Linked DNA regions of Macaca fascicularis. The protein of the gene in region 6 purifies or fractionates together with the protein of the main gene of each other region. This does not show direct contact. Links are inferred from orthologs where the notes say so. Each region holds a gene or a part of one and is shown on either strand. Other genes may lie near its edges. The genes, in order: LIN54, TFDP1, E2F6, MGA, HDAC1, L3MBTL2 and YAF2.

Region 1 (4,350 bases), on a different chromosome or scaffold from region 6:
GCCAATGCTCTGCCTCCCTAAAGAAACATACAACCCCAAGAACTGCTGAACACCATCAAAGCAACAACCGCCAGAGTGGCTGTTTTAAAAATTGTATCAGGAAATCATGCTAAGTGCTAGCGGTTCCTCTAGGCCTCAGCAGCAGCCTTAGGTATAAGAGCAAACTGGAGCCCTCTTAACACTCAAAGAATAATGTTGATGTCATGACGAGGCTACTGATTCTTCGCACTCCGGACAAGTCATTCCTTGATCCACAGCGCAGTTCTTTCCCCACCCACCCCCATCCCCCCAAATAAAGAGATCTCCAGACAGAGAAGCCCTCGGGTACCCCCTCCTCCTCTACCTCCAGCGGCTGCCGCTTTCTCCTCCCTCGGGCTCCGAGGTGGGGGCTCCAGAAGGTCCTGGGCAATCCCGAGCCCCGGCGGGGCTTGTTTTGCCCGTGCACGATAGCTCTGGCCAACAGCTTCCTTTCCCAGTTTGTCCAAACTGGAGCGCTTCAGGGTACCCGGGGCCCGAGAAGGGAGCCGGGGTGGCGACGTCGCCGCCGCCGCCGCCTCTGGTATGTCAGGGGCCGGGATTGTATTTCGAAAGATCCGCCATTTTCACCTCGTCATCACCATCACAGCTCAGCAGCTTCCCCGACAGCCGGAGCCCGGGCCGCCGCCGCCGCCGCCACCACCAGTAACCTCCCCCTTCCTCCTCCCCTCCCCGCCCGCCCCTCCCGGGAGGCGCACACCCACATATCCGGGGAAGCCTCCCGCCGCCCCGCCAACCTTCAAACGCACAAGGGCCGTGCAAGTGCACACCGGCTACGCCGAGACCTTTCACCCCCGGGCGGAGCACGGGCCCCCGCAGGGACGCCAAAGGAAGTCGCGCCACCTGCGGGGTCCCAAGTCCGGCATATTTTTGTTTGCAAGACCAAAAGCCATGCGGAGGGTGGCATAAGGACAATAAAGAACCCAAACTCTTTTATTTTCAGAGCAGCAACTTGAGAGAGATGGTGGAATGCGTTTTATTCACTGTGGCTATCTCAGGTACCAAAAACACTGTGAAGACCCTTAATGTCATTCACCAACTTTGACATTTTACCCCACCTGCGGAACTACTTTGACAGGATGAGCTATTTCCATATGCATGTTCGACCTTTGACACCTTTGTCAATTACAGGCAGCAATCCTCATGCAGGTGAGCTGGTCAAAACACTTCATTTTAAAAAATAAAGTTCTGAGCTGTCTTCCTCTCCAACTTAATTTTATCTGGTCATTTCTGTCCATGAACACTGTGACTTCCAATCTGTCATCGGTTTAAGACGTCAAAGCGCAACTAGATTTAAAATGTATTGAACTAATTGTAGAAACATTCATGAATGATCAATTTCTAAAATATTGAAAATATAACTCTAAGCTAAAAGTATTTGCCAAATGTTTTTAGGATCTAAGTCATCAAATTAAAAAAAAAAAAAAAAAACCATCTGCTGCTGATATATTTGTTCAATACAGTGAAAATAAACAGCTTGCTTCAGAACAAGACCCTAGAGTTACCTACTAGGTAAGTAAGAGTTACCAGCTCCTGTCATCAGTCAGTTGAATAAGTAACCAAAAGAGAACAGAGGTAATTCTTAATCATTTAAAAAATAACAAAACATAAGCTGCAAGGCTTCTTCTGAGACCAACACTTTAAAAAAAAAAAAAAAAAAAAAAAGGAAACTGGCTGCCTTTGTCAATTTCAAAAAGAGTTAACCAACCAAAAACTTAATTCTTTATCATTCAACTACAATATAAGCTCTGGGCAAACTGAATTTCAAGGCTGCGAACAGGGCCACTCTACTGTCTAAGTTAGTGTAAGAAGATTAAGGTTGAAGTTGAAAAAGTCATTTCATTTCCCTACCTTGTTTCAATGGCAACTCCATATAAAAGTCGGTAGATTCAGCCTTCAACAAGGGCTGTTTACCACCCACCCCAATTGCTGTTTTTATATGCAGACTGCCAGATGCTGAGAGTGTAAAGTGTTATCAGTTACTTCATCTTTAAACTTCATTTCCCTACTGACGGCCCCGTCCATCCGCACTCTGCTTGGTTGTTTACCGTTGCTGTCCAAGCTAAGTCCCGGCCCGCTCCCTTCCCCCGTGCACCTCGGGAACATTATGACATTTGGCTGGTGGGCTTCGCGAGGAAAACGGACACGCACGAACAAGAGCCTATACAAAGGGGCATAGGAAGAACGCGGCGGCGGGCAGTAGGGAGAGGAGGGACTGGCACAAAATGACACAGCAGCAAAACCGGTTCCCAGAAACCCAGGGCAGCCACGGCCGGCTTGTTGGGTCGCGCAGTGTGCGTGTCAACAGCCGCGGGAGCCCTTCCTCCAGATCGCCAGGCAGGCGGCTGGCCGAGCGCTGGCCCTGCCGGGTGACAGCCACCCTCCCGGGAGCCGGCGGGAAGAGACGGAGCCCCGAGGATCCTCCGCCCCCCGCAGCCCAGGGAAGGGGCGCGGCTGACCCCGCTGGCGGGTTCCCGCTCCCCGCCAAGGCCCACCGGCCCGGGCTCCCGGAGGGAGCGGTCCAGCGCTCTCCGCCCGCGCAGCCACTCGCAGCGGGGGCCGGTTCCCCCTTCCCGCCCGCCCGCCCAGTAGCTCCCATCCCGGCGGCTGACACTCACCAAAGCCGGCGGCGCCGCCGCCTCCTGGTCGCGCGGCGCTCCCTGGGCTCCCAGCAGCAGCGGCGGCGGCGGCGCCTCCGAGACACAGACCAGGGTTTGTTCAAAATCACGCGCCCAGCGCCATTCCACCGCCGCATCCCATAATACGCCGGGCCCTCCCCGCCCGCGCGCCCCTCTCTGCCCGCCCCTGCGCTCAGCACCCCGCCCCACGGCCGGCTTCCTTCGCTCCGCCTCTTCCGCGGTGCCTCGCCCCTCCCCTTGGCAACCGGAGCCCGCGTTATTCCGCCCGGCTCCGCCGGGGCGCTACAGCTCCACGTGACTCCGAGTGGCGCCCGGTCAAAGCGATCGCACGGAATGTTCCATCCCACTGAAGCTGGTGGGGGGAGGACCCGCATCGCGCTGCTGTTGGGAAAGACCGTCCCTTCGTCTAGCTTTCCTTGTTAGGAAGTGTGAGCTGTAGGTGCGACTTCCAGGATATCCCGCTGTTTGATGTGCTTGAGTGAGGAGGTGATCAGTAGTCACAAATGCCAAGTCACTGTGTTTTTAGGCACTAATTTTGCAGGGGTCGCTAAAAAGCCCCAGGGAGATCATTGAGAGTTAAACTTATTTTGAAAGAGACCTTTTGTTTTTTTCTTGCAACACACAGCTAAGACTAACACAGTCAAAATTATTTGTATTTAATCACCTTTTATTTTTTCCCGCGATTTATATGATATCCAAATACGGAGTCGGATGACCAGACGCTGAGAGATCATTCTGAGGGGAAAAAGAAAAATTATTCTGAGAGATTATTAACTGCTGTGTGTGAGACAAGCACTACAGATATGAAAAAATAGAAAATACAAGAGTGTAAATGTAAGATGGTGCGGTACAGTGTATAATTTGCTAATGGAGCACGGAGGACATACAGGTCAGCATCAGAGACTACCTAGAGAACACAATGGAGGAGGTGAAACTAGTGGAGGCAGCAATCACTTTGGAATCAAGCGGTACTGGTATTTAGTGGCACCTCCGTTTATTAGTGTATAACGTTTATTTTCCTATCCAGCAAATAAAAATAACAAAACTTCCCAGAATTCTGATGATTAAATAAAATGAAGGGTGCTAAGCAGGTACACTGTCTCTGCCTAAAATGTTAGTTCCCTTGTGCCATAATCAACACCCAGTACCAGCCCAAACACTAATAGTCAGGATTTAACAAGGCAGATGTCATGAAATTAGCAAAGCCTTGAAAATGGTAAGGTCTGTGACATGTGCAAGGAAAGTGATAAAGTTGAAAGACACAAAGGCTTTGTTGGAGATCAGCATTGTGAGCCCACTTTATGAGGAACCTTGAGAGCTAGTGTGAGAAATCCTCATGGTAAAATGATTGATGGTACTGTTGGCGCACCACTGGAAGGAAGAAGAGAGTGCGATGGGGTACCCAAAACTGGCTAGATTTTAGAGAGACCAAACAAATCTCAAAAAAGGGAGACCCTTTCCCAGTTTATTCCACAAGGCAGCATAACTCTCATACTAAAACCCAAGACAAACAGTGCCCAAAAAAGAGAAGGGAAACTTCCTTTCTCACTATGATTTTGTTATGAAGGGAAAATTGATTATTTAGATGTTATTGATCTGGTGCTGTGGCTCACACCTGTAATCGCAGGACTCTGGGAGACCGAAGCAGGAGGATGGGTTGAGGCCAGGAGTTTGA
Region 2 (3,417 bases), on a different chromosome or scaffold from region 6:
TCTTGACAGTGCTGATCAGGGCCCTGGAGCTGGCCTTCCCCACCTCCCACTGAGTGCTGAGGGTGGGCGGCACCCCTGGGGGCCCCGTGTCTGGTGTGGAGGGGGTCGTGTGCAAGGTGCTCAGTGCAGAGCTGACTGCTGCTCTGGCCGAGGTGTGCTCGAGCCCTCCCAGAGGGGATGGTGTGGCAGCCATGGTGATGGAGACTCGTGGGCGAGAGCTGCTCAGGGCCACAGAGTCTGTCAGGAGGGACAGTCCTGGTTGCCAGTGCCTTAGTACCTGCCTAACGGGGATAGACCCAGGGTGGCCGGGAGAGGAAGGGAATCTCCTGGCTCTACAATAATAGCAGAGAAGTTCTCTCCAAGTGGAACACTTGGTTTGGGGCCTGAGGCCCTGGCCCTGGGTTCAGCCTTGCAGGGCCCATTCCCCCAGAGGAGCACCCCTGCAACACACGGGCCCTTCCGCGTTCTACTTCCCAGGGTGGGCGAAGTCCACGGCATGGCACCCCTCCAAGGCTGTCACCCTGTAGGTGCCACGGGGGTGGGTGGCCTCAGAGGGGTGAAGGACAGCAAGAAATCGACTTCCAAAATTGGTGTTTTGTTGAGCACCCTTGCTGTGGTGGACGTTTTCATCACGGGCACAGATGACTGTGAGGTGTGAGCACTGTTCCCATGGAGGACACTTTTATCACGGGCCCGGATGGCTATGCGCCCGCTTTCCCTTAGTTCTTCCCTCAGGATCTCGTTTCCTGAGCGCTTTTGTCCCTGGGCTGCAGAGGTCAGCACCCAGCTGCTGGTGCTGGCCTTTTCAGATGTCCAGGCCAACTTCTCACTGTTGCCTGGGCGCAGGGAGGGCTGTGAGGACCCCTCGAGCACAGGGACTGTGTTCTCGTGCTGCCACGGGCCACCTGGCTCCTCCTTTTTTTAGCAAATTGCCTTCAAGAACCTGGTGCAGAGAAACCGGCATGCAGAGCAGCAGGCCAGCCGGCCGCCGCCACCCAACTCAGTCATCCACCTGCCCTTCATCATCGTCAACACCAGCAAGAAGACGGTCATCGACTGCAGCATCTCCAATGACAAGTAGGTTGTGGGCGGGGAGCCATTCTCTGGTCGCTTATCTCTTTTTGAGGGAGCTGACCCCTTTGGGATTGTCACGAGGACAAGTTTTAAATGTTGCACAAATAGCCGGGGTTTGCTGTCCATTGTGGGGTGGTGGGAGGCTGTGTCCCGGGAGCGTGTGCCTCAGGGCATGTCCTGGGAGAATGGACCTCGATTTGCCTCTCACCTCATTTACTGCGGAGTTTGTAAATTCTGTGAGGAGATGCTGATGACTGGGAATGTGGAGGCTGTGTGTGGCGGTCCGTGGGTCAGCTGTCCTGGCCCCACCGGTTACCGGCTCCACTGGGAGACCCTGTGTTTCTGACTGTGCCTTTCCCCTTCAGATTTGAGTATCTGTTTAATTTTGACAACACATTTGAAATCCACGATGACATAGAAGTGCTGAAGCGGATGGGCATGGCTTGTGGACTGGAGTCGGGGAGCTGCTCTGCCGAAGACCTTAAAATGGCCAGAAGTCTGGTCCCCAAGGCTCTAGAGCCGTACGTGACAGGTCAGCGATGCCCAGACAACCCGGCGTGGCTGTGTGAGGAATGGCTCCCAGCCTCGGATGGCGCCCTCCCCTCCCAGCTTGGGATGTGTCTTGCTGAGATTGGGCCCACGTGTGTAGGGCCAGGAGCAAAGACAAAGGGGCTATGAGGGGCATGGGGGCGGGGGTGTGGCTGGGGCGGGGTCCAGCCAGTGCCATCACCCACTGGATGTGGGGGCCTTGAGTCTGCAGGTGGCTGGTGTGGATTTCCCGTGTGGTTTGTATGAGGAGATGCTAAGTCAGGATTTTACCCTCCACGTAGGCCCAGAAGTAGAAGTTGACATTCTTTGAGAAGTGCAGTTGGATTGCTGATCCCACCCACTGATGGTAGCTGATTGGTCACTAGGGCAAAGTAACCAAGAAAAAGCGTTTCAGAGTCATTGGCGTCCTGCTCCGGAGGGCCGGGAGCACAGGAGCTTTTGTTGAAGGAACTTTTTTTCTGTTCTGGTGAATTCTTTCCGTGGGGCCGTAGGGTCCCAGCCACTGACAGCAGAATGGCTTTAAGGTGAGAAATTGTGAAAGTGCCATATCTGCTGATCCTTCTCTTGTCAGGCTAAACTTGGGGTGTGGATTTATTCCCCGAGAGGGTCAGAGATTCCTCCCTGAGCTCCTAAACCACTCCAGATCTTGTGAAAATCTGGCTGGTCCATGTTGTCAGGTGACAGTGGGCTCCGGCCGCCCACGTGGGCTGAGCCCTGACCCCGGCCTCTGTCCTGTGCTTCGTGGAACCGCCAGGATGGGCTGTGGGAAGAGGGTTTCAGCTCGACACTTCATTCTGTTCTGTTTCACGATGGGTGTGATACTGATGCAGAAGCACACGTGTGCCGTTTGTAAGTCAGTGTGTGCAGGTATTTATTGCAAGGCTCTCTGTGCCTTTTTAGAGAAGACAGGCTTATGTGACTGCACAGGGATGTCCTGCTCCGTGGCACAGTGCAGAAAATACTGGAGAAGTGAAGGATATCTGGAAGCTTTTCCAGCCGTCTGTCCTGTGGCGCTGCGTGTCATTTTGTTGGTGGCCTGTGCGTCTTGTGTTGTTTCTGTTTCATGACCATTCGCTTATTTTCTTTCCCTTTTCAGAAATGGCTCAGGGAACTGTTGGAGGCGTGTTCATCACGACGGCAGGTTCCACGTCTAACGGCACAAGGTTCTCTGCCAGGTGACAGTGGTTGAGGGTGTGGGAGAGGCATCGTCTAGGCCTCCCCCAGGGTCCAGGGGCCAAGGCAGGGCAGCCGTCTCGTGTGGCCATCAGGTCCGAGGCTGCTCCAATGTGGCTTGTCTGTCCAGGCAGTGGGGCCCTGCTGGCTTTCCCTGTGTGGCTTTCCCTGCTTGTCTCAGTTGGTTTTTGCTCACTAAAAACTAAAAGTAATACATGGTGGTGGATTTTTTCAAAGTATCACCTAATAAATAAAGTAGGAACGAAAACCACCCAAACCCTCCTGTCCCGGGCAGCCCAAGTAACAGCAAGTATTTCTAGGTTTTTTTCTCCCATTTTTCAGAACACATCTGCAGTCACAGTGCACGTCTTTTTCAGAACGGTCACAGTGCATGTATTTTTCAGAACGCATCTGCGGTCACAGCACACATATTTTGTTCCGTGCATTTTTCAGCTTACATTTTATTGTATTAATATATATAGTTTCTATGCTATTAAAGGGCCTTTATTTAAATAAATTTGTATTTAATCTATAACCTGCAATCCCATAGAGTAGAATGATGTCCCTAGGTATTGATCTTAGTGCTTCAAAGATAAATATACCTTTTATGGTAAATATTAA
Region 3 (4,145 bases), on a different chromosome or scaffold from region 6:
CGATATGGTAACTGAAAATACCAGAAATGTATGTCTAAGATTTCAAGCGATGTATCTGCTGATATTGCATGCAAACTAAGTGGTTTTTCCACAGTGAGCTTAGAGTTTTTATCAAATTCTCAAATATTAAGACGACCAATACAGATGGTACCAATATACAGCTGATCCTCAAACAACACAGGTTTGAACTGTGTGGGTCCACTTAGATGCCAATTTTCTTTACCCCCTGCCACAACTTAGAGAGCAAAACCAACTCCTCCTCTTACTCCTCTTCATCAGCCTACTCAGTGTGAAGACAAGGATGAAGACCTTTACGATCATCTAATTCCCCTGAATGAGTAGGACTTTCTCTTATTTATGATTTTCTTAATAACGTTTTCTTTAGCTACTTTATTATAAGAATACACTAACTAATACATGTAAATACAAAATATGTGTTAATCAACTGTTTACAGTATCAGTAAGGCTTCCAGGAAACAGTAAAGTTTTGGGGGAATCAAAGTTATATTCAGATTTTGAATTTCATGTGATTTGGTGCCCCAAACCCTGAGTCGTTCAAGGATCAAATGTAGACGGTAACATAAGTCATGGGAGGAGAGAATGAACTCCCCTAAGAAGAATGTGTAGAGACAGCAGAAGAGAACCCTGAATATCATCAACATGTGGCCAGCCACGGTGGCTCACACCTGTAATCCCAGCACTTTGGGAAACTGAGGTGAGAGGACAGCTTGAGCCCAGGAGTTCAAGACCAGCCTGGGCCACGCAGGAAGACTTCCATATCTAAAAATAAAAAAATTAGCCAGGCCTTGTGGCATGTGCCTGTGGTCCCAGCTACTAGAGAGGTGGAGGCAGAAGAATCACTTGAGCCTGGGAGGTCAAGGCTGCAGTGAGCCAGGATGTGCCACTGCACTCCAGCCAGGGTGACAGAGTGAGATCCTGTCTCGGGGGAAAAAAAAATGAAGGACTGGGAAGAGGATGAGGACAAGGAGAGCCCAGAGAAGCAGATGGAACATCAATGTCAAGGAAACTCAAGGGAGAGTTTCCAACACAAGTAGTTTTGTGTCAAAACTACAACAGCTGCTGGAATTGACGAGATTGTCGGTGACCCTGGTTAGAATGGTCTCACAAGTGTGCTGAGGATAGGGGTCCCCAGCAGTGGGTTGGCTGATAATGAGACGATCAAGTGGAAAGAGTGAGTGTAAATAACTTTTTCAAGAAGTTTAGCTGTGAAGGGGAAGAGAGACAGTAGATGGCAAGGGATATGGAATTAAGGGAGGGATCTTTTAAGATGGGGATGGATTGAGAATGTGGTTTTAGTAGTCAAGAATTTATCATCTGGAGTTAGACATTTGGAGGTTCAACCCAAGTTTCTCCACTTACTATCTAGCCACAGGCAAGCCGGCATTACATGCATCTCCAGGTCTGTTTTGGCAACCGTAAAACAAGAATAATAGTCTTTTACTATTATAAAACACTGCTGTGAGAAATTAAATGAGACAATAATCACAAACTATTTGGTATGGGGACCAGGCATAATGACTTGGGAAAATGTTTAATTACTACTAGTTATAGGAAGAAAGCAGCAGAGAAATTGAAAATATGGGGAGAGGCCGGGCTCGGTGGCTCACGCCTTGTAATCCCATCACTTTGGGAGGCCGAGGCGGGTGGATCACCTGAGGTCGTCAGGAGTTCGAGACCAGCTTGGCCAACACGGTGAAATCCCGTCTCTACTATAAATACAAAATTAGCTGGGTGTGGTGGCGCATGACTGTGATCCCAGCTACATGGGAGGCTGAAGCAGAAGAATCGCTTGAACCTGGGAGGCGGCGGTTGCAGTGAGCTGAGATCGTGCCATTGCACTCCAGCCTGGGGAACAAGAGTAAAAACTCCATCTCAAAAAAAGAAAAAGAAAATACGGGAGGAATGGAAAAGAACGCATTTGTTAAGGACCTTGAGAACCGGGGAATACAGTATCTGGTCCAGAACAAGAGTAGAAGAAATCAGTCTTTGTGGGAAAGGGAGCCAAATCTCCTAACCATTTTCTCCGTCAAACAGGTGGGGAGATAATTTTATGAATGGGAGCTGTGGCGTGGTAAATATAAAGCGTGGACAAGGTTTTAAACGGCTGCAGTAGAGCAGAAGAGAGAGAAGGTAGAAGAACAAATGATAGGTTGCAGAGATACAGCTAGAGTCCACTGAAGGAGAAAAACATGGCCTTTCCAATGCAAAGTTGAGCAATTTTCTCCAACAGTGCCCTGAAGTTCCGATGTAAAAGTCCAGAAGACTGACACCACGTCTGTGAACAGATGCTGAAAGCAGAAGGCGGGAGAGCGCAGTTTCGCAGCACGTGATGGGCAGCGCCTGGCCCAGGGGGAGCAGACGACCGAGACGACGGCCAGCGGGGTTGGCGGCGGCGCGGGGAGGAGGGGGCCAGCTTTGGGAGACCCCCGCCCGTCCCCCTCCCGTCCCGGAGCTTACCAGCAGTCCCTCCACGTTGATGGGGTCTCGGCACCGACGGCGAACCGTCTCCTCCGCGGGGTCCAGGAGGAGACTGGGCAACTTCCTCGCCGGCCGCTGCTGACTCATGCTGCCCGGCCGGGCGTCCCGCTCCCCTCGCACCCCGCGAGCTCTCCCGCCCTCTCGCGCGCAGCTCGATCACCGCCCCCCACGCGCCGATTTCCAAGGGCCCAGAAACTGACGGATCCGCGGCGTCCTCCAAGGCCCCGCCCGGCTAGGCCGTCCCACCCGCCAGCAAACGCGGCACTGCCTCACGTGCCCGGGAACTCCCGACGAAGACGGGAAAGGAGGAGGTAGACCCGCGGCTCTCAAGTAGCCCGGCCCGCCATTTTTCCGCATGCGCAGTGTACCGCCCCCCTCTGCGCATGCCCGCCGCGGCCGGAGCGCTCCCACGCACCGATCCTCTCCCGGCGGCTGGCGCCCGGGAAACCCGGACCGCGGAATCCACGGAGAGGCTGGCAAAGGAAAAGGAAGAGGTGGAGCCGGATTCCAGAGGAAGGGAACGGGGGTGAGAGAAAACAGGCAGCTGGGAAAACGCAGCGCTCGCCTGGAATTCTCGACGGTGATAACTGAAAGCTCTCAGCCGCAAAGATGTTCATTTATTCCTTTTTTTAATTTTAATTTTTTTTTTTTTTGTCGCCCAGGCTGGAGTGCAGTGGCGTGGTCAGGGCTCACTGCAGCCTCGAATTCTTAGGCTCAAGCGATCCTCCCACCTCAGCCTCCCAAGTAGCTGGGACTACAGGCGCGCGCCACTGCGCCCGGCTAATTTTTAATTTTAATTTTAGTAGAGGCAGAGTCTCAGTATATTGCACCGACTGGTCTTGAACTCTGGGGCTCAAGCCATCCTCCCACCTTGGCCTCCCAAGTGCTGGGATTATAGGCATGAGCTACCACGCCCGGCCTTCATTTATTCCTGAGCTCTGTTAGCACATCTTACAGGCGGGTCAGTGTTGATGCTTAGTAAATGTGAGCAACCAAACCATTGTGGTATCGTTTTACTTCTGCCTGCCTGCCTTCTTTCCTTCCTTCCTGCCTTCCTTCCTTCCTGCCTTCCTTCCTTCCTTCCTTCCTCCCTCCTTCCTGTTTGATGAATGAGTTATCGTGGACCTATAGTGTCAGATATTGGGGTGAGCACAGGCGATACTTACTCATTTGGATATGCCACAGGTTCAACCTCCAATTTCAGTGGGGACAGATAAGTAAACAGAGCATGTTAATTAAGCTGGAGCCAGAGGTGTGTTTTCAAATCCTGGCTCCTACTTATAAACCAGAAGACCTTATTAAGCCAGTTACTTAATCTGCCTGTGCCTCAGTTTCCTTATTTGGAAAATGCGAATAATGACAATACTTACCTGATAAGGTTGTTGTGAGGATTAAATGGATTAATGGATACAGGTTGCTGTGATTAGAACAGAGGCCAGCACATGTTTGAAACAAAAAGGTAACACACCGTGGTGTGTACAGAGTTGGAGGGAAACAACCGGTTAGACTGGGGGTTTCTACACAGCCTGAGGTGGGCGAGGTGAGGCAGGGAGAAATCCCTGAAGAAGCTGGCTCCCCACTAGACTATGATGTCAGAGGTCTCTAATCTTTTTTTTTTCCCCATTACCCAGGCTGGAGGGCAGTGG
Region 4 (3,595 bases), on a different chromosome or scaffold from region 6:
TGGTAAAAGCCAAGGAAGAAAAAATAGAGTTTCAAGTAGGAGAAAACGGTCAAGCAACAGCAAATGTAGCAAATAAAGCCTAAAGATCAGTGCATTTACCAATAGCATTAGCTAAAACAAAGCAGAATGACAAAGCAATCATGTATCAGTAACTGAATAGAAAATGGGAAAATAGTGTGGGGGGTGTGTGTGTGTGTGCACGTGCACACGCATGTGTATATAATTTTTCAGACCCTTAAATCAGAGGTTGGCAATTATTTCCTGTAAAGGAACAGATAGTAAATATTTTAGGCTTTACAAGCATCTATGGTCTGTCACATATTCTTGTATACACACTAAAATAAGCTATAGGCCAGATTTGCCCAACTCTCGCCTAAAAATAATTTCTGCTCCCATATCAAGCATTTAGAGAAAAAGTTTACACAGAGCTAAATACCATTTTCACACATAAAGATAATGTTATTTCTTGGAGCATGATTCGAGTTGCTTTTCTCCCTTCAGTGACAGCGATACTACATGTTAATAAATCTGAACCACTCTCCTGATTCATTAAAATCAAAAGCTCAACCATATGTAATCCCAACAGCTGCTTTCTATAACAAAAAAAATAAGCCTGGCCGGGTATGGCAGCTCATGCCTGTAATCCCAGCACTGTGAAAGGCCAAGGCTGGCAGATCACTTCAGCTCACAAGTTTGAGGCCAGCCTGGGCAACATGGCAAAACCTTGTCTCTACTAAAAATACAAAAAAATCAGTCAGGCATAGTGATGCATGCCTGTAGTTCCAGCTACTCAGGAGGCTGAGGGAGGAGAATCACCCAAGTCCAGGAAGTCAGGGCTACAGTGAGCCGTGATTGCACTACTGCACCCTATTCTAAGTGACAGAGCCATACACTGCCTCAAAAAACAAACCAACATACATCTGACCCTTTAACCTAAAGAACTTCTCCAGGCCCTATCCTCCAAAGGAATTTTAATAAATTCTGCATCATCCAACGGTACACTCAACTATTTCTGGATAACAAGGGTAAAAATATAATTTGTGGTCAACTGTTTAAATCCATTTTAATTATGTTAATCAAGATGATTAAGCTGTGGCTGAAGAATCAAGTTTAAAGACGGCATCCACCAGTTGCAATTACAAACAATACCACAGCAAAAAGTATAACCCGAAAGAACCTTTCCCCTTTGACAAAAAACTGTATGCATTGCTTGAGTAGCACTTACTCCTGCTGCAACAATCCTTAGAAAAAGCAAAGCAATAACCAGCTCATAGACAAGGCAAGGGGAACTCATGAGCATGGTGATTCCAAATTAAAAAAATAGTAGCTGTTAGTGGCCTACAATTTTAGCAAGAAAAGGAAAGTAAAGGGAATTCGTGTGCAGGGATTTCTTTACTTTTGCTGAACTTGGGTTTAAAAATCAAAATAATGGCTGGGCGCAGTAGCTCACACCTGTAATCCCAGCACTCTGGGAGGCCAAGGTGGGCAGATCACGAGGTCAGGAGATCAAGACCATCCTGGCTTAACACGGTGAAACCCCATCTCTACTAAAAATGCAAAAAAATTAGCCGGGCGTGGTGATAGGCGCCTGCAGTCCCAGCTACTCGGGAGGTTAAGGCAGGAGAATGACGTGAACCTGGGAGGCGGAGCTTGCAGTGAGCCCAGATCATGCCACTGCACTCCAGCCTGAGCGACAGAGCCAGACTCCGTCTCAAAAAAAAAATAAATAAAAATAAAAATAAGGCAAGTTCAGGCCGGGCATAGTGGCTCACATCTGTAATTCCAACACTTTGAGAGGCCAAGGCGGGTGGATCACCTGAGGTCAGGAGTTTGAGACCAGCCTGGCCAACATGGTGAAACTCCATCTCTAGTAAAAAAAAAATTCAAAAAATTTAGCCAGGCATGGTGGCACACACCTGCAATCCCAGCTACTCGGGAGGTTGAGACAGGAGAATCGCTTGAACCTGGGAGCCCCAGGTTACAGTGAGCCGAGAAGGCGCCACTGCACTCCAGCCTGAGCAACAGAGCGAGATTCCATCTCAAAAACAATAAACAAACAAAAATAAGGCAAGTTCAAACAAAAAGAAACAACAGTATCATTCACAATAGTCAAATTCAAGTTTTGCTTTTTGGAACTTTGTGAAATCCTCCCCCCCCATCCCATCTCAAATTTTTTTTTTTTTTTTTTTTTTGAGGCGGAGTCTCGCTCTGTCGCCCAGGCTGGAGTGCAGTGGCACGATCTCGGCTCACTGCAAGCTCCGCCTCCCAGGTTCCCGCCATTCTCCTGCCTCAGCCTCCCGAGTAGCTGGGACTACAGGCGCCGCCACCACGCCCGGCTAATTTTTTTGTATTTTTAGTGGAGACGGGGTTTCATTGTGTTAGCCAGGATGGTCTCGATCTCCTGACCTCGTGATCCGCCCGTCTCGGCCTCCCAAAGTGCTGGGATTACAGGCTTGAGCCACCGCGCCCGGCCCATCTCAAATATTTTGGATTTGTGGTTGGTTGAACACACAGCTGCAGCCTCCATGGAAGACTGATTGTATAGACAACTCATGATTACAGGCGACTTTCTGTATCTGAGGAGGACTGGTTCCAGGACCCTCCCCAGATACCAAAATCTGAGGATACTCAAGTACCTTAGTTGGCCAGTTTTATCTGTGGATGCAGAACCAGAAGATGTGGCGGGCCTACTATAATTGAAGAAGGGAAGAAAACCCCATATCATAATGGAAACAAAACTTATCTACACAAGGCACAAAATGCATTTACAGTCATTATTTGTACCTAATACTTGTGAATTTACTGCCTGAGGGATATCCTAATCCATAAATTGCCCAAAGAAGCAGCTGAAAATTATTACTAGTTAAAATAGCATGTTTACTGTTTCTTTAAAATTTACCTGGCATAACTGAAGCCTTGTACCCTTTGACCAACATCTTTCAGTCTTTCTCTACCCCCGGCATCCACCATTCTACTTTCTACCTTTATGAATATTTTGCAGTATTTGTCTTTTTTGTTTTGCTTATTTCACTTAGCACAGTATTCTCTAGGCACATCTATGTTGTCACAATTGGTATGATTTTCTTTTTTTCTTGAGACGGAGTCTCAAATGTAGTAAGGTGTTGGTATCCTCGGGTGGTCCTGGAACCAATCCCCCAAGGATGTCAAGGAACATTCTAAATACATACGAATAATTCAGATAAGTTATCCAATTTGCCTACAATTCTAGATCCTGAACCCAACTGATTCTCATTACAGAAAAATTATCTGTCATTTCACAGACTGTAAAAGCAGTTGTAGTACATTTTATAGTGACTTACTTTATCAACATGTGTAGCATTCCACAGAACCAAGATGTTAAATCCAACACCTGGCCCATCTCAATCTTCCTTTTATTTCTAAGAACAGAAAAACTACTACTTACCATTCAGAAATCTCTTGCTTCAATTGAGGAACTTCACTAAGTGCTGAATCAGTATCCATGAAACCAAGAAAGTCTCGTTTTATATTAAGGGAAGTCTTCTCCAAACCCTTGCCTGATGTTTCATGACCCCTCGACAAAGGATCCAAATCACCTGGTTGTATCTCTGACCCC
Region 5 (3,595 bases), on a different chromosome or scaffold from region 6:
GCCATGGTGAATATCAATGTCAATATACAGCACCCTCTGGTGATACCTAGGGTCAGAAGGGGGTCAGGGGTCTGGGGGCTCTTTGGGGATGGGACGCGCCAAGGGCGCCAGGTCCCAGCTTACCGGGCTGGCTGCCTCCCTCAGGTATCTCTAAGCACCAGAGACGTGGAAACTGGCTGAAGGAAGGTGGAAGAGCGGCCAGGTGTCTCCAGAGGCCTGACCAAGCCGACCAAGTCCGATCTTCCTACTCTACAGCCAGGGTCAACTCCAGCCACACAGGGACACTCTGGAGGCAGGATCTGAGCAGCACCTGCCCCTGATCATGCCGTGGCTCAGTTCAAACCAAGACCCCATCAAGGAGATGATGGCCAGAGACACTCACCGAGCACATCCTAGCCAGCACATCGGTAGGAAAAGCAAACTAGGGAGGCAAGCCCAGGGGGAAAGGGAAATGGGAACCTGGCCTAAGGTGCTCTTCCAAGAGACAAGGCCAGGCAGGCATACTTTAGCAGTTCCAGGATGGCCAAGACGATATCATTGACGTAACAGAAGCCAGATGCCTCAGACTTCTTTGCATGGTGCAGGCCCCCAGCCCAATTCACAGCGATGTCCGTCTGCTGCTTATTAAGTTTCACAGCACTTGCTGGGCATGGGAAGAGAGAACATAAGCTGGTTACTAAGCCACTCTCCCCTTCTTCCAAGAAGCCCAGGGAACCAAGTGAGAGGTTAAGACCTGCCTATTCAACAGCTGTATTGTACAATTCATAGATTAGTCCCCTCCCTCCCACCCTACTCCAGCAGGAAATAAACATGACACTGGCTACTCTTAAAATACTATTTTCCAAACTGAGGGTAGTAACCCATTAGCAGGCCTTAAAATTGATTTAGTGCATCATTATTAGTATATATATATTTTTAATGAAATAGCATAGAAAAAAATATCAGAGTAACAGTAAAGGTAACTGCTCTTTTGTAAAACTGGCTTCAGAGTGAGTGAGTGTGTGCATGCATGCATATGTGTTATATGTATCCTGGATTGCATGTGTAAATTTATTTCTTACTATGGCTCATGGTCAAGGAACTTTGAAAAAATACCAAAGATAGGCTACGTGCGGTGGCTCACGCCTGTAATCCCAGAACTTTGGGAGGCCGAGGTGGGCAGATCACCTGAGGTCAAGAGTTCAAGACCAGCCTGGCCAACATGGTGAAACCCTGTCTCTACTAAAAATACAAAAAAAAAATTAGCTGGGCGTGGTGGTACACACCTGTAGTCCCAGCTACTTGGGGAGGCTGAGGCAGAAGAATCGCTTGAACCCAGGAAGCGGAGGTTGCAGTGAGCCAAGATCACGCCACTGCACTCCAGCCTGGGTGACAGAGGGAGACTCTACTTCAAAAAAAAAAAAAGAAAGAAAGAAAGGAAGAAAAAAAAATGACCAAAGATAGTGCCGATACACTAGGTCAAAAAGCACTAGCACGGCCGGGCGCGGTGGCTCAAGCTTGTAATCCCAGCACTTTGGGAGGCCAAGACGGGCGGATCACGAGGTCAGGAGATCAAGACCATCCTGGCTAACACGGTGAAACCCCGTCTCTACCAAAAAAAGACAAAAAACTAGCCGGGCGAGGTGGCGGGCGCCTGTAGTCCCAGCTACTCGGGAGGCTGAGGCAGGAGAATGGCGGGAACCCGGAAGGCGGAGCTTGCAGTGAGCTGAGATCCGGGCACCTTGCTCCAGCCTGGGTGACAGAGCGAGACTCCGTCTCAAAAAAAAAAAAAAAAAAAAAAAGCATTAGCACAAATAGGCCCCAGAAGAAGTAAAAGAGAAATACACACTCATGTGTGCAAGTGCATTTGTGGCAGTGTTAATTTTTTTTTTTTTTTTTTGAGACGGAGTCTCGCTCTGTAGCCCAGGCTGGAGTGCAGTGGCCGGATCTCAGCTCACTGCAAGCTCTGCCTCCCGGGTTCATGCCATTCTCCGGCCTCAGCCTCCCGAGTAGCTGGGACTACAGCGCCCGCCACCTCGCCCGGCTAGTTTTTTGTATTTCTTAGTAGAGACGGGGTTTCACCATGTTATCCAGGATGGTCTCGATCTCCTGACCTCATGATCCACCCGTCTCGGCCTCCCAAAGTGCTGGGATTACAGGCTTGAGCCACCGCGCCCGGCCGGCAGTGTTAATTTTTTGTTGTTGTTTTTTGAGATGGAGTCTCACTCTGTCACTCAGGCTAAAGTGCAGTGGCGCGATCTCGGCTCACTGCAACCTCCACCTCCCAGGTTCAAGCAATTCTCCTGCCTCAGCCTCCCAAGTAGCTGGGATTATAGGCGTGCGCCACCACGCCTGGCTAATTTTTGTATTTTTTAGTAGAGATGGGGTTTCACTATGTTGGCCAGGCTGGTCTCAAACTCCTGACCTCAGGTGATCCACCTGCCTCGGCCTCCCAAAGGATTGAGATTACAGGCGTGAGCCACCGTGTCCGGCTGCAGTGTTGATTTTAACAGCAATAAAAGCATAGATAGATCCAAATTATCAAGAAGAGGGACAGATTAGATCAACTCAAGTAAATCCACAACATGGAATAATCATAGAGCCACAAGAAAGCAAGCTGTAGAAAACTACAGACAATTTCGTTAAGTAGGAAATGCAGGCATAAAACCATATATATGTGATATGTATATAACCTACTTTTGTAAAATGTAGATGTTGTATATGTGTTATACAGATATAAACACACACACCAAAGAATGGCCAAACACCAACATGGTGACAGAGGTTATCCACCAACCCTGGGACTATGGGTGACTGTGTTTTTTTCTGTGCACTTCTTTGTTTTCTGCGATTATACTGGCCGGGCAGCGGGGGTGGACACAATGATTATATTGGTGGGGGATCACAGGGAAATAAATATTTAAGAAAGGGAGTCATCCTGGAGATAACCCAAAAGTTGCAAATGGAAGTGGGAGACACGTGGGGAGTATTTCTGACCTCTAAAGGTAATGACCATACTTTTTCATAGGACAGATTCACAGATGATGACACTTCCATTTTTATAGCACTTTGCAGTTCACAAATTGCTTTTACATACAGCATCTTAACAACCCCAGGAGGTCTGCAGGGAACTCCTGTACATAAGATCTCTTAGTAGGAGAGGACAGTCAAGGACACCTGTCAGTACCATGTCAGAGATTGAACTTGGGCTGGGACTGAACCAGAAGGACATTTTAGAGACTTTTTAAACTTTTTTTTTTTTTTTGGAGACAGAGTCTTGCTCTGTTGCCCAGGCTAGAGTGTAGTGGTGTGACCACGACTCACTGCAGCCTCAACCTACTGGGTTTAAGCCTCAGCCTCCTGAGTAGCTGGGACTACAGGCACAAGCCACCATGCCCAGCTAATTGTTTTTACTTTATTTTTCTGTAGACACGAGGGTCTCACTACGTTGCCCAGGCTGGTCTTGAATTCCTGACCTCAAGCAATCCTCCTCCTCAGCCTCTCAAAGTGCTGGGATTACAGGTGTGAGACATTACACCAGCCACTTTAGAGACTTAAGTAAAAACCACAGGACCAATCTACATGGTTTCAGATCAGCCAACTGGGATAGCAGCCT
Region 6 (3,595 bases):
CCAGGGCACGGCTGGGTCAGGAAGCGGCGGAGCCTAGACTAAGCAGCGCTACTTCCAAACACACCCAGAAGGAAAGGTCTCAGAGGTCACAAAGCAGCCAATAGGCAAAGCTGCCACAGGGGTCCTAAACCAGACAGACCCTCTGGCCCAGCTCAAGGGCTTGGGATACGCCCTGACACCAATTGCCTGTCCCACGTCTGGTATCCCAGAGGCTCACTCAGGAGAGTGAGAGACAACGCAGGGTAAGGCCTGGCTCAGGGCCCCTCTGGGCTGCCTTCCCTGCCACGTTCTCTTCCTCTACAGCCAACACAGTGCAGCCCACAATCCTACGCCATTTTTGTTTTTGTTTTTGTTTTGAAATGGAGTCTCCTCGCTCTGTGGCCCAGGCTGAAGTGCAGTGGGCACAATCTCGGCTCACTGCAACTTCGGCCTCCCGGGTGCAAGCAATTCTCCCACCTCAGCCTCCTGAGTTAGCTGGGATTACTGGTGTGTGCCACCACACCCAGCTAATTTTTGCATTTCTAGTACAGTCGGGGTTTTGCCATGTTGGCCAGGCTAGTCTGGAACTCCTGCCCTCAGGTGATCTGCCGACCTTGGCCTCCCAAAGTGCTGGGATTACAGAGTGAGTCACTGTGCCCAGCCCAACTAATTTTTTTTTAAGAGACAAAGTCTCACGGTGTTGCCTAAGCTGGTTTCGGACTTCTGGCCTCAAGTAATCCTCTCGCCTTGGCCTCCCAAAGTGCTGAGACACTGAGACAGGTATGAGTCACTTTTACCATGTACACGTGACTTAATTTTTACTAAATCATTTCTTTTTTTTTTTTTTTTTTTTAAGACGGAGTCTCGCTCTGCCGCCCAGGCTGGAGTGCAGTGACTGGATCTCAGCTCACTGCAAGCTCCGCCTCCCGGGTTCACGCCATTCTCCTGCCTCAGCCTCCCGAGTAGCTGGGACTACAGGCGCCCGCCACCTCGCCCGGCTAGTTTTTCGTATTTTTCAGTAGAGACGGGGTTTCACCGTGTTAGCCAGGATGGTCTCGATCTCCTGACCTCGCGATCCGCCCGTCTCGGCCTCCCAAAGTGCTGGGATTACAGGCTTGAGCCACCGCGCCCGGCCTAAATCATTTCTTAAAATTAAATGCCAAACAGATGATTCTGTGCCACACAGGAGTCCTAAACCAGACAGAATCCGACAGCCCAGAGGGGCCCCAGGCCAGGCCTTAGCCTGTACTGTGCCAGGCACACCCCTGGCTTAGAACCGAGGCTGTATTACAATTACTCGTGTGCATGGCTTTCGTTTCTTCTGCCAGACTAAAGATTTCTGGATGGCAGGGTCTGTATTCTTTGTATTCCCACATTGCCTTGTAAACAAGTATGTAAGGCTGGGCACGGTGGCTCACGCCTACAATCCCAGCACTCTGGGAGGCCGGGGTGGGTGGATCACTTGAGGTCAGGAGTTCGAGACAAGCCTGGGCAATACGGTGAAACCCCATCTCTACTAAAAATACAAAAATTAGCCACGTATGATGGTGCACGTGCACCTGTAATCCCAGCTACTTGGGAGGCTGAGGCAGAAGAATTGCTTGAGCCCAGGAAGCAGAGGTTGCAGTGAGCCAAGATTGTGCCACTGCACTCCAGCCTGGGCAACAGAGCGAGACTCTGTCTTAAAAAGAAAAAAAAGGCTGGGCACAGTGGCTCATGCCTGTAATCCCAGCACTTTGGGAGGCCAAGGCAGGCAGATCACGAGGTCAGGAGATTGAAACCATCCTGGCTAACATGGTGAAACCCCATCTCTACTAAAAATACAAAAAAATTAGCCAGGCATGGTGGTGAGCGCCTGTAGTCCCAGCTACTCGGGAGGCTGAGGCAGGAGAATGGCGTGAACCCGGGAGGCAGAGGTTGCCATGAGCCGAGATTGCGCCACTGCACTCCAGCCTGGGCGACAGAGCGAGACTCCGTCTCAAAAAAAAAAAAAAAAAAAAAAATATGTAATAAAATCTATTGAGTGAACACTTCCGAAAAATTCTATGAGCAAAGGTAAGGTTCTGGAAGAGCAAAAGGCAGACAAAGCAGCATGACTGGTGCGGTAGGAGCAGAGTCTGGGTGGGGTGGTGGCTGACACCAGGCTAGAAAGGCAGATGGCAACCATGTAGCAGCAGCATTTGTCTCCAGCCTTGCAAAATGTGGAGCTGCTGAAGATCATCAGGCAAGAGAGTCTCAGATAACATGCTCCAGTGAGTAGCATGGAGGATGGAGAAAAATGGAAGAGCAGAAGAAGGGACATCAGTTAAGGGCTCACTGCCGACCTTGATGTGGAAATCCACGGGAAGCGTCCTGGAGCCCACCAGCCGTTTCATGAGGTAGCCCTTCCAGTCGGTGAACTTGGCATGGATGGCTGTGGAGGCACCAGCAGAATCCTGGTTACAGACTGACGACACCTCCACCGACAGGGACGCTAGCACCGACCCCGAGTGGGGGCCCCTCAGCAGTGGGGAGGAAAATAGCTGCCTCTCGAGGCCAGCAAGGACTTCATCCGAGAACCTCAGATTCCACACATGGATTGGCTCCTGGGCCTCTGAGACGGGGAGGGCAGGAAGCCAGGGGGCAAGTGGCTTCTGTTCTAACAAGACAGAGGACTCCCATTCTACCTAACACAAGCAGAGGACTCTCCCTCTACCAGGGGCCCTGCACGAACAAGAGAGGGAATGTTCTCATCAACTCACTCCGTGGGGGCACGAGGATCTTGCTGTTGATGGCACACCAGCCAATGGGGTGGACATCCACAGTTCCCAGGTTGCACCAGAAGTCATGGCTGGCATCATTTTCAAAGCCTTCGTACCGAAGCAGCACCCGATACCCTGAAAAGAAAGGAAAGGGCACCTGTGAGGGAGGGTGAGCTGGGGAAGGTATGCTGTGTTTTTTTTATTATTTTGAGACGGAGTCTTGCTCTGTTGCCCAGGCTGGATTGTAGTGGCGCCATCTCAGCTCACTGCAAGCACCGCCTCCTGAGTAGCTGGGACTACAGGTGCTCGCCACCACGCCTGGCTAATTTTTTTTGTATTTTTAGTAGAGACGGGGTTTCATCGTGTTAGCCAGGATGGTCTCGATCTCCTGACCTTGTGATCTGCCCTCCTTAGCCTCCCAAAGTGCTGGGATTACAAGCGTGAGCCACCGCGCCCGGCCTGGGGAAGGTATGTTGTTAAGCCGTCTCTTGTCTCTAGCCTAAGCTGGACTTCCGGCACCTATACTTCCAGGCACGTGTGTTCCTGTTGTCCACAACAGTCCTAGTCAATCAAATTCATGCTCCTAGTTAGGAAAGCATTATGGCATGGTGCTGAGAGTTAATTCCCTATAACCTGACCATCCCTGGAATGAATTTTACTTTTTAAATTTTTTTCATTTTTTGTAGAGACAGTGTCTCACTACGTTGCCCAGGCTGGTCTCGAACTCCTGAGCTCAAACAATCCTCCTGCCTCCGCCTCCCAAAGTGCTGGGATTAGAGGTGTGAGCCACGACACCCGGCCCTGGAACAAACTTTATAAATTGGGGTTTCCAGCCAGGCGCGGTGGCTCACGCCTGTAATCCCAGCACTTTGGGA
Region 7 (4,085 bases), on a different chromosome or scaffold from region 6:
AGAGAAGAGACAATTCAGAGAGAGGAAGGAAGAAGCTGAGAGGGTCGTAGTGTAGAACACTTACTTTCAGGAACACAGTGTCCCTTAGATTTCTGGTGAGTTGCCCAGAGCCTCTTCAGTTTCAATCCAAATGACAATGCTTCTCTGAGTCCTCCTCAAGTAATGTTTCCACCACTAAAAATTGGATCTACAAGAGCTCGGATGTACCGGTTAAAAACAAAAAAAAAGTCAGGGGCCCCCAGGTGGGCCTCAAGCCTCTTTTAAACTAGGCCCACTTCTCTGTCCTGGGCCAACTCCCCTGTGTACTATATTCCTTCTTCTTCCAGGTGCCAGGTATTCAGCCTGTTTCTTCTCTTCTGAGCTGCCACCACCTACTCTATTTCTCAGGGTTCCTCTAATCCCAAGACTGGCTGTGGAGTAGGACACCAGCTTCCCCCCTTCCTTGCTGTCCCTGCAAATAAACATATAGGCTCTTCTAGTTTCAGTATTTTTCTAATGGCTACAAGAAAATAGAGAGGGAACAACAAAAAGCAATAATATATAGTACCAGAGATCAAGATTATAATAATTGTCTCCACTTTAATGTTCCTGCCTCCAAAAAACGAATTTTCTAAATATTGTTTACTAAGCATTTTAAAAAGCACAAAGTACTAACACGGATATACAAATACACTCTAAACCAACTCCAACCTTACACAGCCATTAAGATACTCTGCTTTTCAAAATACTTAAATCACAAAACACGGGTCCAAAAATAGTAACCACAATCATTTTAGCAAATACTTTTTTTCTTTTTGGAATGTTCTGTTGTAATCCCTTAAATTTAGCATGTCTAAAAGTTGGCTTTCTGAGCATAAAAAATGTTCAAAATATTTTATCCACTGTAAATGAGAATAAATGGGTCCAAAATTAGTAACCACAATCATTTTAGTATATACTTTTTTCTTTTTGGAATGTTCTGCTGTAATCCCTTAAATTTAGAATATGTTTGAAAATTTTCTTTTTGAATATGAAAAATGTACAAAATATTTTATCCATTGTGGGAATATACAAAAAGCATATAATATTTACAAAAAATAAGCATGTCAAAGCCAGCGAGCTTCACTGAGAAAATTTTCAAATAAGTTACTGTCAACCATTCCTGTCTCTACATTTCAAACTTAATAAAATTCTGTAGTGTTTTAAAAAAAAATCAAGATCACATTTTTTAGAAATCTAACGTCTACTGAATATTTGCATATGTCAATATCATATATGCCTTTTTTAAAGCAACAGTAAGATAGATTAGTATGCTTATTGTTATAGTTTAGTCTCTAATGAACTTTGTAACATCAAAATATATATCTTCTCTACATATTAAGTAATAAATCACAGGATTATATTTAATTCAAAGGGTACCTTCCTATAAAAATCAAGGAGCTCGATAACTAAGTGCTGACAGATTAAGAATGCCAGACTGAATTTCCTGGATGATTTTCTTTATCCACTTAATTCAAAGTCGTTTTTTAAAAAACAGAGTTATTATACTGCAAGCTTACAATAAATAAAGTCTGAAAATGGGCAGAGATCTTTTCATCTCATTTGTCTAAGAGACTGCCATTTAATCAAACTAAAGATATGCAGGTACTTTCAGTAAAAATCTGTTCCTGTGACTGGGCTCATCTCCAACTACTTATTTATAAAATATTAGAGAACTGGAATAAAAACACTAAATAAAACCTTGATCTGACCCTTCCAGAAGTCCATATAGAAAAGAAGTTTAATATATTGTGTATTCTGCAATCAGATAGTTTTCTTTTTTTAGGAACGAAATTAAATTACATCCTTTGCTCCTAAAGAGGATTTTATGGGTTTTCCTTGATCCCTACACACTAACACAACAATGCAGCCAACATTTTTATACCCAGAGTGGGGAGAGGGACATTACACACGGCGATACGAATTAAATCGCAGTAGCTAATGCCTCCCATAAATAATTTATTCTCTCTTGGCAGCAAAAAACCTTACAGCCTCTTCAATTACCCCTCACCGCAAACCATCGCCTGGGTTGCGATCAATGTGACCCAGTTCCTATCGCCACAGCCACCTCCGTCTCGCCTCCTCCCGCCGGGTCCGCGAATGTCATGGGACGGGGCGGCAGCCGCAGGGGCGTCCCCTGGTCGTCACCCCGCCAGACGGAGGCGCGCGGGGCAGGCCTGGGACTCACCGGGTGGAGGTGCCCTTCCGCACATCGCACATCATGCACTTGAAGGCCTCGGCGCTGTTCCGGAAGGTGCAGACGCTACAGTCCCAGTAACCCTCATCCGAGGACGGCTTCGGCTGCCGCTTCGGCCTGCAGGACACAACCCGGACACGACGCGGCGCGGGGTCACCAGCAGGCCGCGCCCGGCGCCCGGGCCCTGCGGCCGCCCCCGCCCCGCCCCCCGCCCCAATTCCGCGACCCCCGCCCGGCGGGCCCCCGGCGGGCCCTCGGCGCGCCGCGCTCCGGCTCCAAGGGGGAAGGAAGTCAGGAAGAGGCAGGGCGCGAGCCCGGCCGCACTCGCCGCCGCCACAGCCGCTCTGACACCCGGGCTGCCGCTCCGGTAGCCGCCGCCATCGCGGCTCCATTGTGGGGCGGCCGGCGCCGGCCCCCTCACGCGGCAGCACTCGCACACCAGCGGCGCCGCCCCCGTGCTCGCCCCGGTGCCCGGGCGGCGAGCGAGGCAGCCACCCGAAGCCCTGCACCAGGGCCCTGCCGCCCGCACAGTCCGGGCCCCGGGGCCCGGGCGCTGTTACCTGGTGGGGCTCTTCTTGTCTCCCATGGCTTGGCTATCAACGCACGCTGAGAGTCGCCGCCGCGGCCGCACTGTTTGTCAATAAGGAGGATAATAAGCCGGGCGGAAGCGGGCGGGGGAGGAGGGAGGAAGGGGGCGGGGAAGGCCGCACCGCCGCGCTCGGGAGCCGCCGCCGGATCCCACGCAGCCTCCAGCTGTCGGGGAAACTCCTGCCTGGGCGCACGTGACCCGCGCCCGCCAACCAGCAGCCGCGCCGGAGACTTCAAACGCGGCCAGCGCGGCCCAGCACCCGCGGCGAGTTAGCCGGCGGGCGGTGCGGAGGTGGACGCCTCGGCCTCGGGAGCCGGCGCCGCCTCACCGCACTGTTGCCCTGTCGCCCTCTCGGTACCCACGGCTGCCAGGGGCTGCCGCGCGCTCCAGAGCCCCTCTGAGGAGGAAAATATCTGTCCCACCGACTGGCTTGGGATGCTCAGTCATCCCGTGCGAAGCCTGGTCCAAGGTCTGGCATTCGGAGGCCTGTCCAGGTCTGGACAGAAGTGCCAGCCCGGGGTCTCCAGGTAGAACGACTTTCCTGGCCTCCGCCGTCCTTAGCTACTCAGTCCCCGCCTGCAGGACACCACGGGGAAGGCGGGAACCAACACGCAGCGCCATTGCTAGATGCCTTAAAGCGCTACACAGATGCTCAAACAAGTAGGGCTTGTCACCCCTAACTTAGAGGAATCGAAATCAAGACTCAAGAGAGGTTAGGTGACTTCCTCTGGGCTACATAATTAGAAAATGACAAAGCCAGGAGTCTAACTCTGCTCTAATTCCAAAGGCACCCTTTTGGCCTCTCAGGCCTCTGCAGTAGCTGCTTTTGAAAGAAACCCAATACATACTCATAAGGCCTTTTTAAATATAAGGAGTTTACATGTCCCCTCAACGCTGTCTGCTAACAAAAGAACACCTTCCCAGGTCTCTTTACCTCAATATACTAAATAAAGGTCCTCATACTCCAGACTCCAGCAACAGCCATCAAACTGGTCTCCGAAGCTCCACTTCCACCTCCCCAATCGATTCAGTAGTCCACAACCAGATGAATAATAAAATGCTGTTAATATTATGCCACCACTCTGATCAAGAACCACTAACGACTCCCACACTCCTTAGCCTGGCATTTAAAGGCTTCACACATTTTCCCTACCTCTGCATCCCTCTCCCATGAGAAAAGCTGCCTCCTGACAATGCACATGGGTTACTTCTGCATAAACTAGATCCCTCTTTAACAGTGCTGTTTCTGTCCATCTTTCTAGGTTTACATCAATTCCGAAT

The links.
Region 1: the proteins of L3MBTL2 (region 6) and LIN54 purify together in Homo sapiens (affinity purification with mass spectrometry; 3 studies listed by BioGRID and IntAct, counting the BioPlex papers as one, with this or other methods). This does not show direct contact. The link is inferred for Macaca fascicularis from reciprocal best matches to the Homo sapiens genes L3MBTL2 and LIN54.
Region 2: the proteins of L3MBTL2 (region 6) and TFDP1 purify together in Homo sapiens (affinity purification with mass spectrometry; 4 studies listed by BioGRID and IntAct, counting the BioPlex papers as one, with this or other methods). This does not show direct contact. The link is inferred for Macaca fascicularis from reciprocal best matches to the Homo sapiens genes L3MBTL2 and TFDP1.
Region 3: the proteins of L3MBTL2 (region 6) and E2F6 purify together in Homo sapiens (affinity purification with mass spectrometry; 5 studies listed by BioGRID and IntAct, counting the BioPlex papers as one, with this or other methods). This does not show direct contact. The link is inferred for Macaca fascicularis from reciprocal best matches to the Homo sapiens genes L3MBTL2 and E2F6.
Region 4: the proteins of L3MBTL2 (region 6) and MGA purify together in Homo sapiens (affinity purification with mass spectrometry; 3 studies listed by BioGRID and IntAct, counting the BioPlex papers as one, with this or other methods). This does not show direct contact. The link is inferred for Macaca fascicularis from reciprocal best matches to the Homo sapiens genes L3MBTL2 and MGA.
Region 5: the proteins of L3MBTL2 (region 6) and HDAC1 purify together in Homo sapiens (affinity purification with mass spectrometry; 3 studies listed by BioGRID and IntAct, counting the BioPlex papers as one, with this or other methods). This does not show direct contact. The link is inferred for Macaca fascicularis from reciprocal best matches to the Homo sapiens genes L3MBTL2 and HDAC1.
Region 7: the proteins of L3MBTL2 (region 6) and YAF2 purify together in Homo sapiens (affinity purification with mass spectrometry; 5 studies listed by BioGRID and IntAct, counting the BioPlex papers as one, with this or other methods). This does not show direct contact. The link is inferred for Macaca fascicularis from reciprocal best matches to the Homo sapiens genes L3MBTL2 and YAF2.

What each region holds. Positions count from the first base shown.
Region 1 is NC_088379.1:50,826,708-50,831,057, reverse strand, and holds the start of LIN54 (protein lin-54 homolog), read right to left. Parts: upstream 2,816-4,350; 5' UTR 2,655-2,815; intron 684-2,654; exon of another isoform or gene 344-683; intron 1-343. UniProt on the Homo sapiens protein: Component of the DREAM complex, a multiprotein complex that can both act as a transcription activator or repressor depending on the context. In G0 phase, the complex binds to more than 800 promoters and is required for repression of E2F target genes.
Region 2 is NC_088391.1:104,028,665-104,032,081, forward strand, and holds part of TFDP1 (transcription factor Dp-1), read left to right. Parts: intron 1-925; coding exon 926-1,077; intron 1,078-1,439; coding exon 1,440-1,606; intron 1,607-2,719; coding exon 2,720-2,798; intron 2,799-3,417. UniProt on the Homo sapiens protein: Can stimulate E2F-dependent transcription.
Region 3 is NC_088387.1:110,643,075-110,647,219, reverse strand, and holds the start of E2F6 (transcription factor E2F6), read right to left. Parts: upstream 2,866-4,145; 5' UTR 2,587-2,865; coding exon 2,479-2,586; intron 1-2,478. UniProt on the Homo sapiens protein: Inhibitor of E2F-dependent transcription. Binds DNA cooperatively with DP proteins through the E2 recognition site, 5'-TTTC[CG]CGC-3'. Has a preference for the 5'-TTTCCCGC-3' E2F recognition site.
Region 4 is NC_088381.1:18,268,791-18,272,385, reverse strand, and holds part of MGA (MAX gene-associated protein), read right to left. Parts: coding exon 3,425-3,595; intron 1-3,424. UniProt on the Homo sapiens protein: Functions as a dual-specificity transcription factor, regulating the expression of both MAX-network and T-box family target genes. Functions as a repressor or an activator.
Region 5 is NC_088375.1:202,695,199-202,698,793, forward strand, and holds part of HDAC1 (histone deacetylase 1), read right to left. Parts: intron 644-3,595; coding exon 505-643; intron 47-504; coding exon 1-46. UniProt on the Homo sapiens protein: Histone deacetylase that catalyzes the deacetylation of lysine residues on the N-terminal part of the core histones (H2A, H2B, H3 and H4).
Region 6 is NC_088384.1:10,392,803-10,396,397, forward strand, and holds part of L3MBTL2 (lethal(3)malignant brain tumor-like protein 2), read right to left. Parts: intron 2,856-3,595; coding exon 2,721-2,855; intron 2,393-2,720; coding exon 2,304-2,392; intron 1,511-2,303; exon of another isoform or gene 1-1,510. UniProt on the Homo sapiens protein: Putative Polycomb group (PcG) protein. PcG proteins maintain the transcriptionally repressive state of genes, probably via a modification of chromatin, rendering it heritably changed in its expressibility.
Region 7 is NC_088385.1:48,808,554-48,812,638, forward strand, and holds the start of YAF2 (YY1-associated factor 2), read right to left. Parts: upstream 2,867-4,085; 5' UTR 2,802-2,866; coding exon 2,776-2,801; intron 2,333-2,775; coding exon 2,207-2,332; intron 452-2,206; coding exon of another isoform or gene 250-451; exon of another isoform or gene 60-249; intron 1-59. UniProt on the Homo sapiens protein: Binds to MYC and inhibits MYC-mediated transactivation. Also binds to MYCN and enhances MYCN-dependent transcriptional activation. Increases calpain 2-mediated proteolysis of YY1 in vitro.